Linked DNA regions of Saccharomyces cerevisiae S288C. The gene in region 1 interacts genetically with each later gene. Each region holds a gene or a part of one and is shown on either strand. Other genes may lie near its edges.

Region 1 (8,768 bases):
AAAAATTTGCACCCTATTTAACATAGACACTCAACGAATACCATAATTGCACCTGGTTTCATAGGACCCTGAGGGAACAATACTCAAAAGAACAAAGACTACTGGTAGAGGTCCCGATATATCCCTTCACTGCCGGTGACTATGGTAAAAATGAGGTTACAATTTCTGTATCGTTAGAGAAAATTTTTTTCGTTAAGGCAAACGCATCAGCGTTTACATAGGGAATTCCTAGCGTAGTTTAATGAGCAAGGTACATCAAACCCTAGTAGTTCTTGCAGTTACACAAAATATTCGTTAAAAGCCAGTTTTTCTCCTCTTTCTTAGTCTTGGCTGACTCTCATATAAAACAACTAGAGAAGCTGAGAAAGACTCCAGTTAATCGTGTCTCCCCAGCGTCTATTTCTTGAACCTGAGATGGCTAAATAAGCTTAGGTAGGCAAAACCATGTTGTTGGTACATATTATATCTTTCCTTCTGTTCTTCCAGCTTTCGGCCGCAAAGGCCCCACCCAGTAAAACGTCTCTAATAAATACTCATGAGAGAAGGTCGATATATTCATGCTACGTTGGTTTACGTAAAGAAACATGGGGGTTCAATGGGTCCGCTATATGTCGGTATGAACCAGCAATCCAATCGATGCTTTACTGTCTTTACGAAGACACGCATGAGAAAGGGTATTCAAATAAAACTTTGGAGAAAGGTTTTGAAGAAATGAGACAATTTTGCTATACACCAAAGTTTTTGAACATGACTGATGCCGAGTTTTACACCTCATTGGATAATGGAACATACTATATACAAGATCAACCTAAAGCTGGCATCAATATCACTTATCCTATCAGACTGAACACTACACTAAGAAAAGCATACTATGATGCATACTATGGTTACTACTATAACCATGACATTCCGTATTATTTCGGGGGCATTATCTGTGCATACTTTGTGGGTGTCATGTTGCTTGCAGGTTTAATTCGTTTTTTGAATTATACCCCAATAAAAAAGATTATGTTTCAGCAAAAGCTAGTCAATTACGTGAGAGGTTATACTACTCTACCCACTCTTTATGAAAAGCATGCAGAGCCCTTCTCGTACTTAAAAGTGATAACAGGCTATCTTCCTACTAGGTTTGAAACGTTGGTTATTTTAGGCTACCTCATACTTCATACCATTTTCATGGCCTACAAATATCAATATGATCCATACCACATCATATTTGCCGCTCATAGAGCAGAAGTGGCACATTTTGTTGCGTACAGAAGCGGTATACTTTCTTTTGCACACCTGCCACTCATTGTTTTATTTGCGGGAAGAAATAACTTTCTCCAACTTATTTCTGGCTTGAAGCATACCTCATTCATTGTGTTCCATAAGTGGCTGGGAAGAATGATGTTTCTTGATGCAATAATTCATGCTGCCGGCTTTACGAACTATTATTTGTATTATAAAAAATGGAATACGGTTAGATTAAGAGTCTACTGGAAATTCGGTATTGCTACCACCTGTTTAGCGGGAATGTTAATTTTCTTTTCCATCGCAGCATTTAGAAGACACTACTATGAAACGTTTATGGCCCTCCATATAGTATTCGCAGCACTATTTCTCTATACTTGTTGGGAGCATGTTACTAACTTCAGCGGTATCGAATGGATTTACGCGGCAATAGCAATTTGGGGAGTTGATAGAATTGTACGTATCACCAGAATTGCACTCTTAGGATTTCCTAAAGCAGATCTACAACTGGTTGGATCTGATTTGGTCCGTGTAACGGTTAAAAAACCAAAGAAGTTTTGGAAGGCAAAACCAGGCCAATACGTTTTCGTTTCCTTCTTGCGTCCATTGTGCTTCTGGCAGTCGCATCCATTTACAGTGATGGATTCTTGCGTAAACGATAGAGAATTGGTCATCGTTCTGAAAGCAAAGAAAGGTGTGACAAAACTGGTAAGAAACTTTGTTGAACGTAAAGGCGGCAAGGCATCCATGAGATTAGCTATCGAAGGCCCTTATGGCTCCAAGTCCACCGCCCATCGCTTTGATAATGTATTATTGTTGGCAGGTGGCTCAGGGCTTCCCGGTCCAATTTCTCATGCCCTTGAATTAGGAAAGACAACAGCTGCAAGCGGTAAAAACTTTGTACAGTTAGTCATAGCAGTAAGAGGACTAGACATGCTCAACGCGTGTAAGAAAGAACTAATGGCATTAAAGGGCTTGAATGTTCAAGTTCACATTTATAATTCTAAGCAAGAGCTAGCTTCGGCTGAAAAAATTTCCTCAAATGAAGTCAAAAACGGTGAAACGACAGCAGAGAAGGCCCCATCTAGTCTAAGCAATTCAGAAAAAGCTCCTTCTGAAAGTGAAAATACAGAACTACCTCTTTCCCTGAATGACACGTCTATCTCCGATTTAGAATTTGCCACTTTCCATGTTGGAAGGCCAAATGTTGAAGAAATACTAAATGAATCTGTTAACCATTCTGGTTCACTTGCCGTCGTATGTTGCGGACCACCTATTTTCGTCGACACCGCTAGAAATCAAACTGCCAAAGCTGTTATCAGAAACCCATCAAGAATGATTGAATACTTGGAGGAATACCAAGCCTGGTGAACAATTTTTCATATTTAAGTAAACACTCAATGTATAATATCCTCTAACTGTTGTAATTTCATTAACGTAGATGGTTTGCGCCTTTTTTAGGGGACTCTTGTTGATTGATTCTAACTACTGAGGCTTAAGTTGTTTCAAATAACACTTTTTCAGAAAAATAATCGTATTAAAAAGCAGAAAAATCATACGTAAGATGACAGAAGCTTCATATTTAGTAACTCTGAATTGTATAACACACCAATTGCCGATAGAATATGAACCAATCGATCTTCAGCGTTCATGTACTTAATTTAACTACCTGTATTTTCTTATAAAGATAAAATTGGTGTATAATGTAAGGACCAAGAGAAAAAGGAATCCCGCATCCCAAGCAATTTCTAGTGGACTATTTCTTCAAAAAATAACTCAATAAACACCTATATAATGTTCGGAGGTTATACTTTAGTGTTTTAGAATGCAGTACCAAAAGTAATATATTGAATTAATAACTATATGATGTGTAGCTAAGAATTAAATAGTAAACGTCTTCTGAAACCTTTTAAGAGGTAATTATTGGTATTCCAAATTCATATGTGGAGGTAAGGGAGACACAAAATTATCTGGAATGACAGCGTGCTGACACCTATAAGGTTCCGTAACTTCAAATGCCTTCATTACTCAACATAGGAAAAGTGAAAGTGTGTGCCTCTAAAATATACGGAACATCGTCGAACTAAAAAAATCCATTAAGCAAAGTCAGAAACAGCATGCACTACAAGACATTTGGTTCATCATGAAGAATGCTCAATTGAACCATCAATCACTTTCTCTTGTTCGATGTTAGCATTATCCTCACTATCAGTTGAATCCTCAATGCTTTCGGTTTCAGTCCTCGCATCTTCCTGAACTTCAAGATCTAAAAGAGGCTCACTCTCTTCCAGACTGGTCTCCAAGCGGTCCACGGTATCACGTAATGCCTTCACACAAGCCTTCAAAACAGATCTTGTGCTTGACCCATTTTCCTTAGCTTGAGATAGGACTGTGATATAAGAAGCATATGTGGTAGCGAGAAATAGTATGAATAAAACGGCTTCTGGTAAAATATCTATTTTAGCAATCTTACAAGAACCTGAATAATCAAAGTTTATACCCCGTGGCATACTTGAGCAGGACATAGAACCAAATTTTGAAGCTAGAGTTACGAAAGCGGTAAACCACAGGACGGTCTGAACAATTTCCATCACGAATATTAACAGAACAGGCAAAAATCTCACAATCCCAAAATAAACTGAAGATATGATTGAAACAGCTAAGCTCAATCTAAGGATTCGATCCACTTTATAGTTTGTGATTATGGCAAAACTAGCTAACAACAAGTTAGTTACAGATAAGCCAAGTTGGAAATATCTTAGTACGTGGAAAGTAACGGATGTTGTTGTTAACTTTAACATATATGTATTGAGTTATTATTATAGATCTTGACTTGGTAACAAAATATCAAGCTGTAAGCACCGCCTGTATTCTCCTATTTATGGTTGATTATATTTTACTTCTGTTGAACCAAGAAAAAAATAGCAACTCGAAAAGTCGCTTATTCATTCACTTTTTTAATTTTTTTACATATCGCATACGTAATTGGAAACACGCAATTTTAACTTTGGGCAAATACATAAATCATTTTGAGAAGTTGGTTTTTAGTCTCCGAGAGATTATAAACCAACATCCTTAAAAGATAGTATTCATTTCTCACCTGCCAATGCAAGAGCAGATATTATTCAGCAAGCAGTACAGCAAATCGGAAGCGAATTCCAATGACAATTTGCAGAATAAGATTAGAATAATATATTGAGATTAAAGAAAAGGTTATGCGAATTGCCTAACGTCTTTAACTTTGAAGCGGCCAAACTCTAAAAAACCTTGGTTAAAATACAAGCTTTGGCGTCCATGCAAACTGATTACATCATTCAGTATAAAGTGCCATATAAAAGAGGCACACACTTTTCCACAACTGGTTTGAATATAATAGAAGAATAAATCAGAAGGAAACTTTAAATATTAGTAATATTTATTTATGGCCGCTAAAAGATTAGTCCGGATATATCACTATAGAAATGGTAAAGATAATACACTATCATTTCCAAATGTAAAATTTGTTGATAGAACGCCATAAAAAAGAGGCTGACTTTTTGTCGTCCAAGTTCTTCGAAAAAATATACGTCAATGGCACCCGATATATAGCTGGATTTGGACCAGTATATGTCTAAGGAAATCTAACACCTTTTTTTCCTGAGCCAAATAAGCGGTGGAATTGAAACAGCTACCAAAATCATACCAAATCCAACCGCAATTGAAAGCCCCAATCTTGTGCCATAAAGAGCTGCTAATACAATCGGTGCCACCAGTTTACCAATCCCAGAGATTGCTCCAATTGAAGGCATCAACTGGACCTTGAGTTTGGGGTCGATGTACATGGAAAAAAGGGCTGGAATGCTCGAAGCCAAAAAGTTGTACCCTAACAATGTAATCGACATCCCAGCTGAAAAAAATATACCAGAATTTGTGGGTGGCATTGATTTATGCTTCAAGGCTTCGGATGCTCCAATCATAAAAGCTTGTCCCAGCAATGAAACAAACAATGCAAAGATGGACAGAAAAACTTGACCGCTGTACAGCGAATCTTTTTTCTTTACCTCAACGGTCTCACTTCCAGTTGTATCTGACTCTTCTAATCCGCCATCTTTGGCTCTGCCGCAGGAGCACCCGACGTTTATTAACTTTGGAGCGAAATAGCTTCCAGTCACACCAAGTATAGATGCGACCATAAACGCTATGCCTTGAAACTTGGTGTCCCAGTTAACGTGGAGCGTCAGGAATAGTGGCATAAAATAAACTACTTCGCTCATAATAAATGACGATAGGAACATGCTCCATAGTAAAATCAAGCAGGAGATGAGTTTTTTTCTTTCGACTCTAAAAAATTGTTTCAGAGCACTGAAAAGGCTATTTTCCGAATTTGTAACTTTAACCTCAGGATTTTCCAGAACGACAACTAATAAAAGGCATACTGCAAGAATTATGAAACTGGAGGCAAATGTCGGTGCATTGTAAGAGGCAATGCGATACCCTTTAATTTTAAAATCGCAATATCCAAAAAATATGACAATTAATTGTGCCAACGCCATGAAGATACCAGCCGCTGCTCGATAAATTGATAGAAGCTTGAAAACGATACCCCTATCTTGTGCAATTGACATGATGTAACTGAACACTATAGCACCAGAAGCAGATGCTGCACCACATATAATACGCCCACCGAGAAGGGTGTTTAGCGACACTGCACCGCCGCATGAATACAAAAAATTACCCACAAAGGATAAAAAGTAAAGCCCCACTATTACCCATTTAATGGACCCAAGAAAAGCAGCAATATCCCCAATAATGAATGAAACAAAAACTTGAACTGCTGCAGAAATGGCTTGAATTCTGAACAAGAATTTGTCCGGATTGGTTTCTCCGTTCTCTAAATTGTTAGCATACTAGTTCATTGAAATTATCTTAGATTTACATTAACACTTACTTCTTTGATGTAGTCAACCACACTTGAGAGATATACACAGGAGTCGAAACTGAATTGGACAGCTATCAAAATTACAGCCAAGTATTTCAAAAACATGTGTTTCTTGACACCTAAGATTTTTTTCATTTTAATTTATTGTACCACCGTCGAGTGAAATGGATGGATTTGTAATGCAATTGAGATACAATTAAGAAGAACGAAAGAGTACTTGACAACTAGAAAGTAATGTTAACTGATCTTTTATATGATGATTATTTATTGACGGCGATTCTTTTCCAGATTAGGAAATTTTGTTCCGCTTAGAATGGGATAGGCTTGTTTGGGCGCTATACTTCTGTATCAAAATAGTAAAATCAACTTATTTTAGTAATAGAAGAGAACAGTAGGCGTTTGGTAATTCTAATTACCTAGACTGTCCCCCATTTCCAGACAGCTGTCCCATATTTTTTTGAGATTCCGACGTCGAAGCGAAAGACTAGAAGAATAAGTAAAGTGGTCCTTTGTAAGCATAAAGACAAAGGCATGTGAGAAAAGTAAGTGTCTTCGCGATTCGCCGTTGTAAATATGTATCAGCTTTTTTTACTGCCTTTTCCTGGCGGATCACAGTAATGTATTTTTTTTTTTATATAATTCGAGCTCTACACTCAAGCATACATATATAGAATAGCTCAGTTTTAATGGGCTTTCTCGAGAACTATTCACCCAGAAGGATATCCTGAGCCTTATATTTAGATGTAACTTAGTAAAGTGAGAGTATTATGAATAACTTTTGAAGCTAACAAAATATCAGAAATTAAACTTCATTCAAGAATGTATTTATCTAGAAACTGGTCTTTGGCAAATGGCTCCGATGGCACACATGCAATGTTCTTGGTAAAAACTAATTTATTATTAGGCCAGTACAGAATAAAAGTTGTCATAAGAAAACTTCATTACATTTTATCTCCTCTGGCAAGTATCCAAATTCGAAAACCTCAGAAACCAGCGTTCCACCTAAAGTTTGTTTGCCCGTATGTTAAAACAGTAGCTGCCAAGTCACTTGAGTTTGAAGAATAATCTGATGCTTTTTACATAGAGGTCTATTAGGCTCTTTACTTTGTAAGCATCTCGACTTAAAAAAAAAATCTATTGTTTTTACGGGCATCGCTGAAAAACTGTGTCTGTTCTCTTTGATGCTGTCATCTAAGATTCAATTAAAGTCGACCATCAAGTTCCCTTAATAATATCCCTTGTGAGAGCTTAATCTAAAACTACAAAAGCGTTCGCAACAAGCAGTATGGACAGATCTAAGGACGCTAGAAAGAGATCTATTAGTTTGGCCTGTACTGTGTGTAGGAAACGAAAGTTGAAGTGCGATGGGAACAAGCCATGTGGAAGATGTATAAGGCTAAATACACCAAAAGAATGCATTTATAATATTGATAAAAGGAAAGACAAGAGAAAAATCAAAAACGGGTCGAAGGTTTTTTTATTCAAGAATAATACTATCGATAACGGGAATAACTCTATACTAGAGAACAAAGGACTAAATGAAGACCTTTCTTCTCATATATATGAGAAAGAAGCGCCAAAATTCGATTCAGATATTGATATATCAAGATTTGGCACAAATGATGCTGTGATTTTTAATAATGACGGGTGGGACACTTCTCTTCCGATCGATTTTGATTTCGATGAGTTTAACACTGAGACAACAGATTTCGATGACTTTTTAAAACTATTAGGCGATAATTCACCTTCAAAGGAACAAAAAAGTCTTTCCTATTCACCTACTGCTACAGGCTTAAGCGGTGTGGTTAAAGAAACTGAGAGCGAAGATAACGCTCCTACGAGGTCTCGGCTAATCGATGTCTTGTTTGAGAACAAGCTTCACTCCGTACCAGGAATATCAAAATGGCATCTATATGAGCTGGAATCCCAATACCCAAATTTGGAATGTACAGAAGGAAATAGTGATGAAAAGTTTTTACTTTCAACTGTATTGTGCCTGGGGTCGTTGACCATACGAAAAAGGGAACTATTGAATCATTCGAACATAGACAATCGTCCACTTTTGCCGGAGAATAGTATTTCAAAACTGACCACTGATGCTTTTAAGTACTATAATGCTGCGAAAACGCTTGTTCCCGACTTGTTATCTCATCCCACAATCGATGGATTTTGCGGCCTCGTTCTAATGGCAAATTTCATGACGATGATGATATCCTTAGAGCACCAATTATATTTGAGTATAAATGCTTTACAACTTGCTGTGGCTTTAAACTTGAACAACAATACAAAATGCAAGGAATTACTTGAGTCGAACAGCGACGGAATTGGTGTGATCTTGCTTTTTTGGAACATTTGGTGTTCTTCTTGCATGTTGGCAACAATTCATGGAAAAAATCCTTTTATCACTTTGGAACAAATTACAACACCTCTGCCGTGTGAAATATCCCCCCGCAATAAAACTAATAAACTTTTGATAGATTTCATGCAAATCAGAATCAAGCTAGCCACTCTACAAAGTAAGATTTTTCAACGGCTATATACTTCCAGCACCGCAAACGAGGTACCATTCGTAAACTTAGAAAGAGAATTTGAGGAGGTTTCACTCCAGATTACCAGG
Region 2 (5,641 bases), on another chromosome or scaffold:
TTGGTCATTGATCAATTTAGAAGCCTCGTATTTAACAAATTTGTTATTTCTCTTGGCGACTTTCTTTGCGATCTTTTGTTCAGCCTTGGCCAGTTTTTTCAAATCAACTCTTGTTTCCATCTTTCTACCAGTATGTTCGATGTCACCGTTCACACCCAGCATGCTTAATGAGACGTTGATATCGGATTTACTGTTATGACTCTTTAAGACATTAATATCAAGTAATCTCTTGGACGTATCACCGGTCAATTCCAATTTGGCTTCGTTCTCCTTTAGTTGAGTAGTCAATTGCTTCAAAATACTTTCCGATAGTTCTTTAACTTTAGCCTTTGACGCACCCGCATCAATCAATAAATCGGACACAAATTGCACTTCAGTGGACAAATCTACCTGCTTACTTTGAACAGCATCAAAAGTTATTCCGGACAAGTGGTTAAAGTAGCCCACTGCGTAATCCGTGACGATAGGGTCAATACTAGAAGCAGCTTTTCTCACTTGCGAACCGATGCTTGCCATTTCAAAAAAGTTATTTACCTTTTGTGCTATGAATCGAAGTTAACGTTTTAGCGCTTCAAAACGACTAGTCTTAGCTAGCTTACTGCAGAATATATATTTCTCTTTTCAAATGTCTTTCATTTTCTACTAGATCTAATAATACGAAAAATTTTCAGGAACAAAAAAATAAAAATCAGAAAAAAAAGAAACTGCGCAAGCCCGGAATCGAACCGGGGGCCCAACGATGGCAACGTTGGATTTTACCACTAAACCACTTGCGCTTGTTTTCTTGTGAAAACTATCCTTGGATAAATCAATAATAATGTTTGTAACTTCTCTAACCAATTTGAGATGTAACGAATGATAATTAGTGTGTTGGAATAAAAATCCACTATCGTCTATCAACTAATAGTTATATTATCAATATATTATCATATACGGTGTAAAGATGATGACATAAGTTATGAGAAGCTGTCATCGAAGTTAGAGGAAGCTGAAGTGCAAGGATTGATAATGCAATAGGATAATGAAACATATAAAACGGAATGAGGAATAATCGTAATATTAGTATGTAGAAATATAGATTCCATTTCGAGGATTCCTATATCATCGAGGAGAACTTCTAGTATATCCTGTATACATAATATTATGGCCTTTATCAACAATGGAATCCCAACAATTATCTCAAAATTCGCCAAATAGTCAAGTATTATAGCCTTGATCAATAATGGGATCCAATAATTATTAAACTATTCACCCAATCTTCACAGATCTTCTAGTCAACGAGGGAAAATCCATATTTCTAAATAGTATTATTTATCCTTGCACTTCAACTTCCATTGAAGCTGATGATTGTTTCTTAATTTTCATGTTATCTTCTGGCAGCGTATATGAGATTATACTAATTATATGAAAATATATTAATAGTATAGATACTAATCGGTAAACGATAATCGACTCTCATCACAACAAAATGCTTTTGCAAATATTGAGGAAATTATATATGTTTATTAAACATATATATCCTGTGTATTTATAGAGGCTTTCCTCCAACATTTTATTATTTTTGGCAAATAATACAGTAGCTTAGGATATCTTACGCACGCAACTGCAGGAAAAGAACGTCAAGACATTCTGTGAGTTGTTTTCCCGCAAAATGTTCCACCGTCGTTACTTTTTCAATTTCATAAACATATATCAGAATGGAAAAAGCCTTCATAAATGAGCTTCGAATTTTTGCGCAATCTCGAATATAAGAAGCATGTATATTTGTCATCTTGCTTTCATTGGAAGCAAAAGGGCAAAGTTTCAATCTTGTGCATGTAACCTCAGTAGTAATCTATAAGTGTGAGATATATCTGTCAATTTTTGCAGACCATTAACATTTTCCAAATACATCTTGAACTCTTCATCTTCGAGGGGAATTGTCTCCGTCTGGAATTTCTGCCTAATCAATTTGATAGTCTCTTTATGATGCATTAGAATGTTTCCTCTTAATTGGGCGACAATGTAATTTAAAGAGTCTTCGGAGTAAGACAATAAATCCATGGATTCAAGGGTTACCTGCTTGGATTCCTGTAAACTTTTCCGGAGCATTGAATTTTGGCGCTTCAACACTCCTAGCATAACGTCATCTTTCGCATTTTCATCCAGATTGTTGCTTAGTTGCTCTTTCTCAGTAATAGGAGCTTTCCCTCTTTGTTCTAGAAATCTATTAAATAATGCAATATTTTCCGTGGTATCGTGAGGTTCTTCAGATGTCTCATACTTGTTTAAGCTTCCGGATAATATGTCTATGTTCCTTAGTATTTTCGCCTTTTCTGCTTGATTTTCCCTCAACTGTTTCACTAGCTTGTTAACTAACAAGTACATATGATTCAAGTTTTCTGCTTGAGGAGACATATATACTTGCTGCTGCTGCTGCTGCTGCTGTTGTTGTTGTTGCATTGACAAAACGTTGATTTGGTCACTCATATCTAAACCTTGGCTTGAACTTCTTGTAGAATCAATATGTATTACTTCCCATATATGTCGTAATAAAGGGCACCTCTGCAGAGTTCATAAAGAATGCCGTTTTTGCTTGCGCGCCTTAATTATCTGTATTCAGTTCGATTTTACAAAAATATATACAAGGTTCCGCCTAACCTTCTAGTCGTTGCGGATATGGACGATATTATCTACCTTAATTAAATGATTATCTATATCCCTGCCATTCAACAAATCATTGCTGCGAAACTTCTCTCGTCCTTCTGCAATAGTCGTGACTAACCCTGATTGCAAATGCCTTTTGGCCACCCTTTCTTCGGTGGCCTCATAGTCTATGTCAATCTTATAAACAAGAAGTGCTCCCGTATCAGCTAATGTTTTGTAAATTTTCTTCCAGTTTTCTTGGTCATACAGTAGGTATAACCCTTCAAGTATAACTATCCTTGTAAATTTGGAAATACAGTACTGATCTGGAGTTGGGTCTTTTAGTGCATGGTTAAATCCTGGAACAAAGATATCAGGAATTGTTTGGCTAAAAGTTTTGGATAACTTCTCAAAAACGCTTGAAGTGGAGTAAAATTTATGATGTGAGGAGACCTTACATAGGGACGTCTTGGCTAGAATTTTACACAATTGTAAGAAATTGTTACTGTCAAACGTTGAGGGCGAACCTCTTCTTTTATGGGCAGTTTGTGGGTCTTTGAATAGGTCTAGACATCTGCGAGATAAGTGAAAACCATCCATTGGGACTATTTGCGCTATATTGATACTATCCTGGGCCAACTTGTTAACATTGACTGGATTATCAACTGCTGCGATTCTTATGGCATTCGCAGTACCACCTCTGGCAACTACTGCGGTACATTCTTCATTATTTGATGTAAGGGCTGAGTACTTGACTGGTTGAAAATTAACATCCTCAACATGATCTTTAAACAGCCCCTGATTTTCAATCATTTCAGCTACTTTATTGGGCTGGAGCGTCTTTAAAGAGTCTACTAGGTTAACCATAGGTTTCAACCTATCATTAACCTCAATAACATTTGGATGCTCTGACAAAAATGTGTGATATTTTTCATTTATAATTTGACAAAGTTCTTCCGCAATAGTAGACTTACCGGAGCCTGGAGAACCGACTAGGATAACACAAACCCTATAATTATCTTCGATACGGTTATCCAATAGCTGAAGAACGTCGTCTGCTAGTTTATGCGTATCGACCATTGTGGCTAGAATGATCCTCTGGTATGATACAGGATAAAATATGTATAGTACTAGTGAAATTAACCTAACAAGGTTACTTCATTTTTCCCGAAGAGCAATACTTGATGATGCTTAAAGGTACGCATTTAATGAACGAAAAATAACACAGTTCGTTTGAGTAAAAAGAAAGCTCACAAAATTTAATACAGAAAAAAAATTATATGTAAACTGTGGACAAGTCTGATAAGCCCAGATAACCCTTCTATTTCACGAAGGTGCAAGTGCGATTGAAAAGAATTGTTTCATGGCATTAGCTATCAGGACACGAATGCATAATCGTCAAGATATTATCGGTATGCAGCAGTTGAAGTTGTTATTAATGTTATAAGGCACCATCATATGTGGCTTTGGGATGATCTTCCGCCGATTGGTGTTCATATTACAAAAATTTTATCACGCTCGAGGTTAGAAGATGGCATCAATTATGAGGCATGAATAACAAGGTTTAAGCACTAGTAATCATAGCGGATGCTGAAACGCCAAGGTTAATGAGTTCATAAGATTAACGAATAACGAGAACTTAGGTATGAGTCAAAATTTTACTTTCATAATAGATTTATCGAAAATGTGATCAATTTTCTGAATAATTTGATAACTGTTGGGATTGCATTGTTGATCAAGACCATAATATTATGTACACAGAATATGCTAGAAGTCTCCTCGAGGATGTAGGAATCCTCAAAATGGAATCGGTAGTTCTACATAATAATATTACGATTATTCCCCATTCCGTTTTATATGTTTCATTATGCTATTACATTATCAATCTTGCATTTCAGCTTCCATTAGGGTTGATAACTGTTTCTCAACTTTTATGTCATCTTCCTGAACCGCATATGATAATATGCCAATAACATGAATATTACCAAATGGATGGCATTTCAAATTATTACTTTAACAAAAAGGAACCAAATAACTCATATAATAATTACCTATTTCTCAAATAGGTGGACGACGGTTTATCCAATTCCAACAATAATAGTAATTACTAATATTATGTAGATTTTTCGATCCAAGTCCTCGAGGGCGACTCATAGGAATGCTATCTTCAATCAACAATGACATCCGAATAATTATCTCAAGTTTTACAACATTCTCAAATATTATGGTAAAAAGAAAACTTTGCAATCTGCAAAATTCTCGAATTCTGAATCGCTAGATTTCCTTATGAGAAAAGTCACATTTAAAGGTGTTAGCAGCTAGTTATTATAGTCCTATAGTTCCTGTAACAATGAATTTTTCATAAATAGAAGCGGATTTAGCTCAGTTGGGAGAGCGCCAGACTGAAGAAAAAACTTCGGTCAAGTTATCTGGAGGTCCTGTGTTCGATCCACAGAATTCGCATTCATTTTTTGCTCTTCGGGGTTGGTCCTTAATTTTTTCAGTGCCATTCCTTATATTTCCAAATCTAGTTAAATGGTGAATCCAAGATTATAAAAAAAATATACAATTCTGTGTACAAAAGAATATACTAAACTTCTAGAAGCGAGTAAAAAAAAGTTAATACCTAAACGATTACGTGGAAACCTGAACGGGGTTTCTTCAAACCTTTTTGAACGATTTTTTCAATTTCATCAGGGTCAGAAGTAATACCAGTTAAGTTCTCGTAACCATCTTTGGTAACAAGGATATCATCTTCAATTCTAACACCACCGACATACATGTATCTTTTCAATACGCTCATATCGACAACTTCCAATCTTTCGGGGTGCTTTTCCAAAAATTCTTTGATCAAAAATTGATTAAAGTAGCAACCTGGTTCATTAGTGATAACCATATTTTCTTTCAAAGGACGGCGGATTCTTAAATATCTAAACATTGGATCTGGGTCGTCATAGTTTGGATTACCACCAACGTCGTGTACATCAAGCCCCAACATATGCCCTAGTCCATGGGG

The links.
Region 2: mutations in YNR061C (region 1) and YFH7 together harm fitness more than expected from each alone (negative genetic interaction), as found in Saccharomyces cerevisiae (one large-scale study listed by BioGRID).

What each region holds. Positions count from the first base shown.
Region 1 is NC_001146.8:739,507-748,274, forward strand, and holds YNR061C (uncharacterized protein), read right to left. Parts: upstream 4,035-8,768; coding exon 3,375-4,034; downstream 1-3,374. Other genes in the region: FRE4 (ferric-chelate reductase), read left to right, coding at 445-2,604; PUL3 (Pul3p), read right to left, coding at 4,854-5,837; PUL4 (Pul4p), read left to right, coding at 7,437-8,768.
Region 2 is NC_001138.5:157,363-163,003, reverse strand, and holds YFH7 (Yfh7p), read right to left. Parts: upstream 3,706-5,641; coding exon 2,644-3,705; downstream 1-2,643. Other genes in the region: putative AAA family ATPase GCN20, read right to left, coding at 1-516; FAR7 (Far7p), read right to left, coding at 1,804-2,469; YFR006W (putative Xaa-Pro dipeptidase), read right to left, coding at 5,252-5,641. UniProt on the Saccharomyces cerevisiae protein: ATP-dependent kinase that could be involved in endoplasmic reticulum membrane assembly.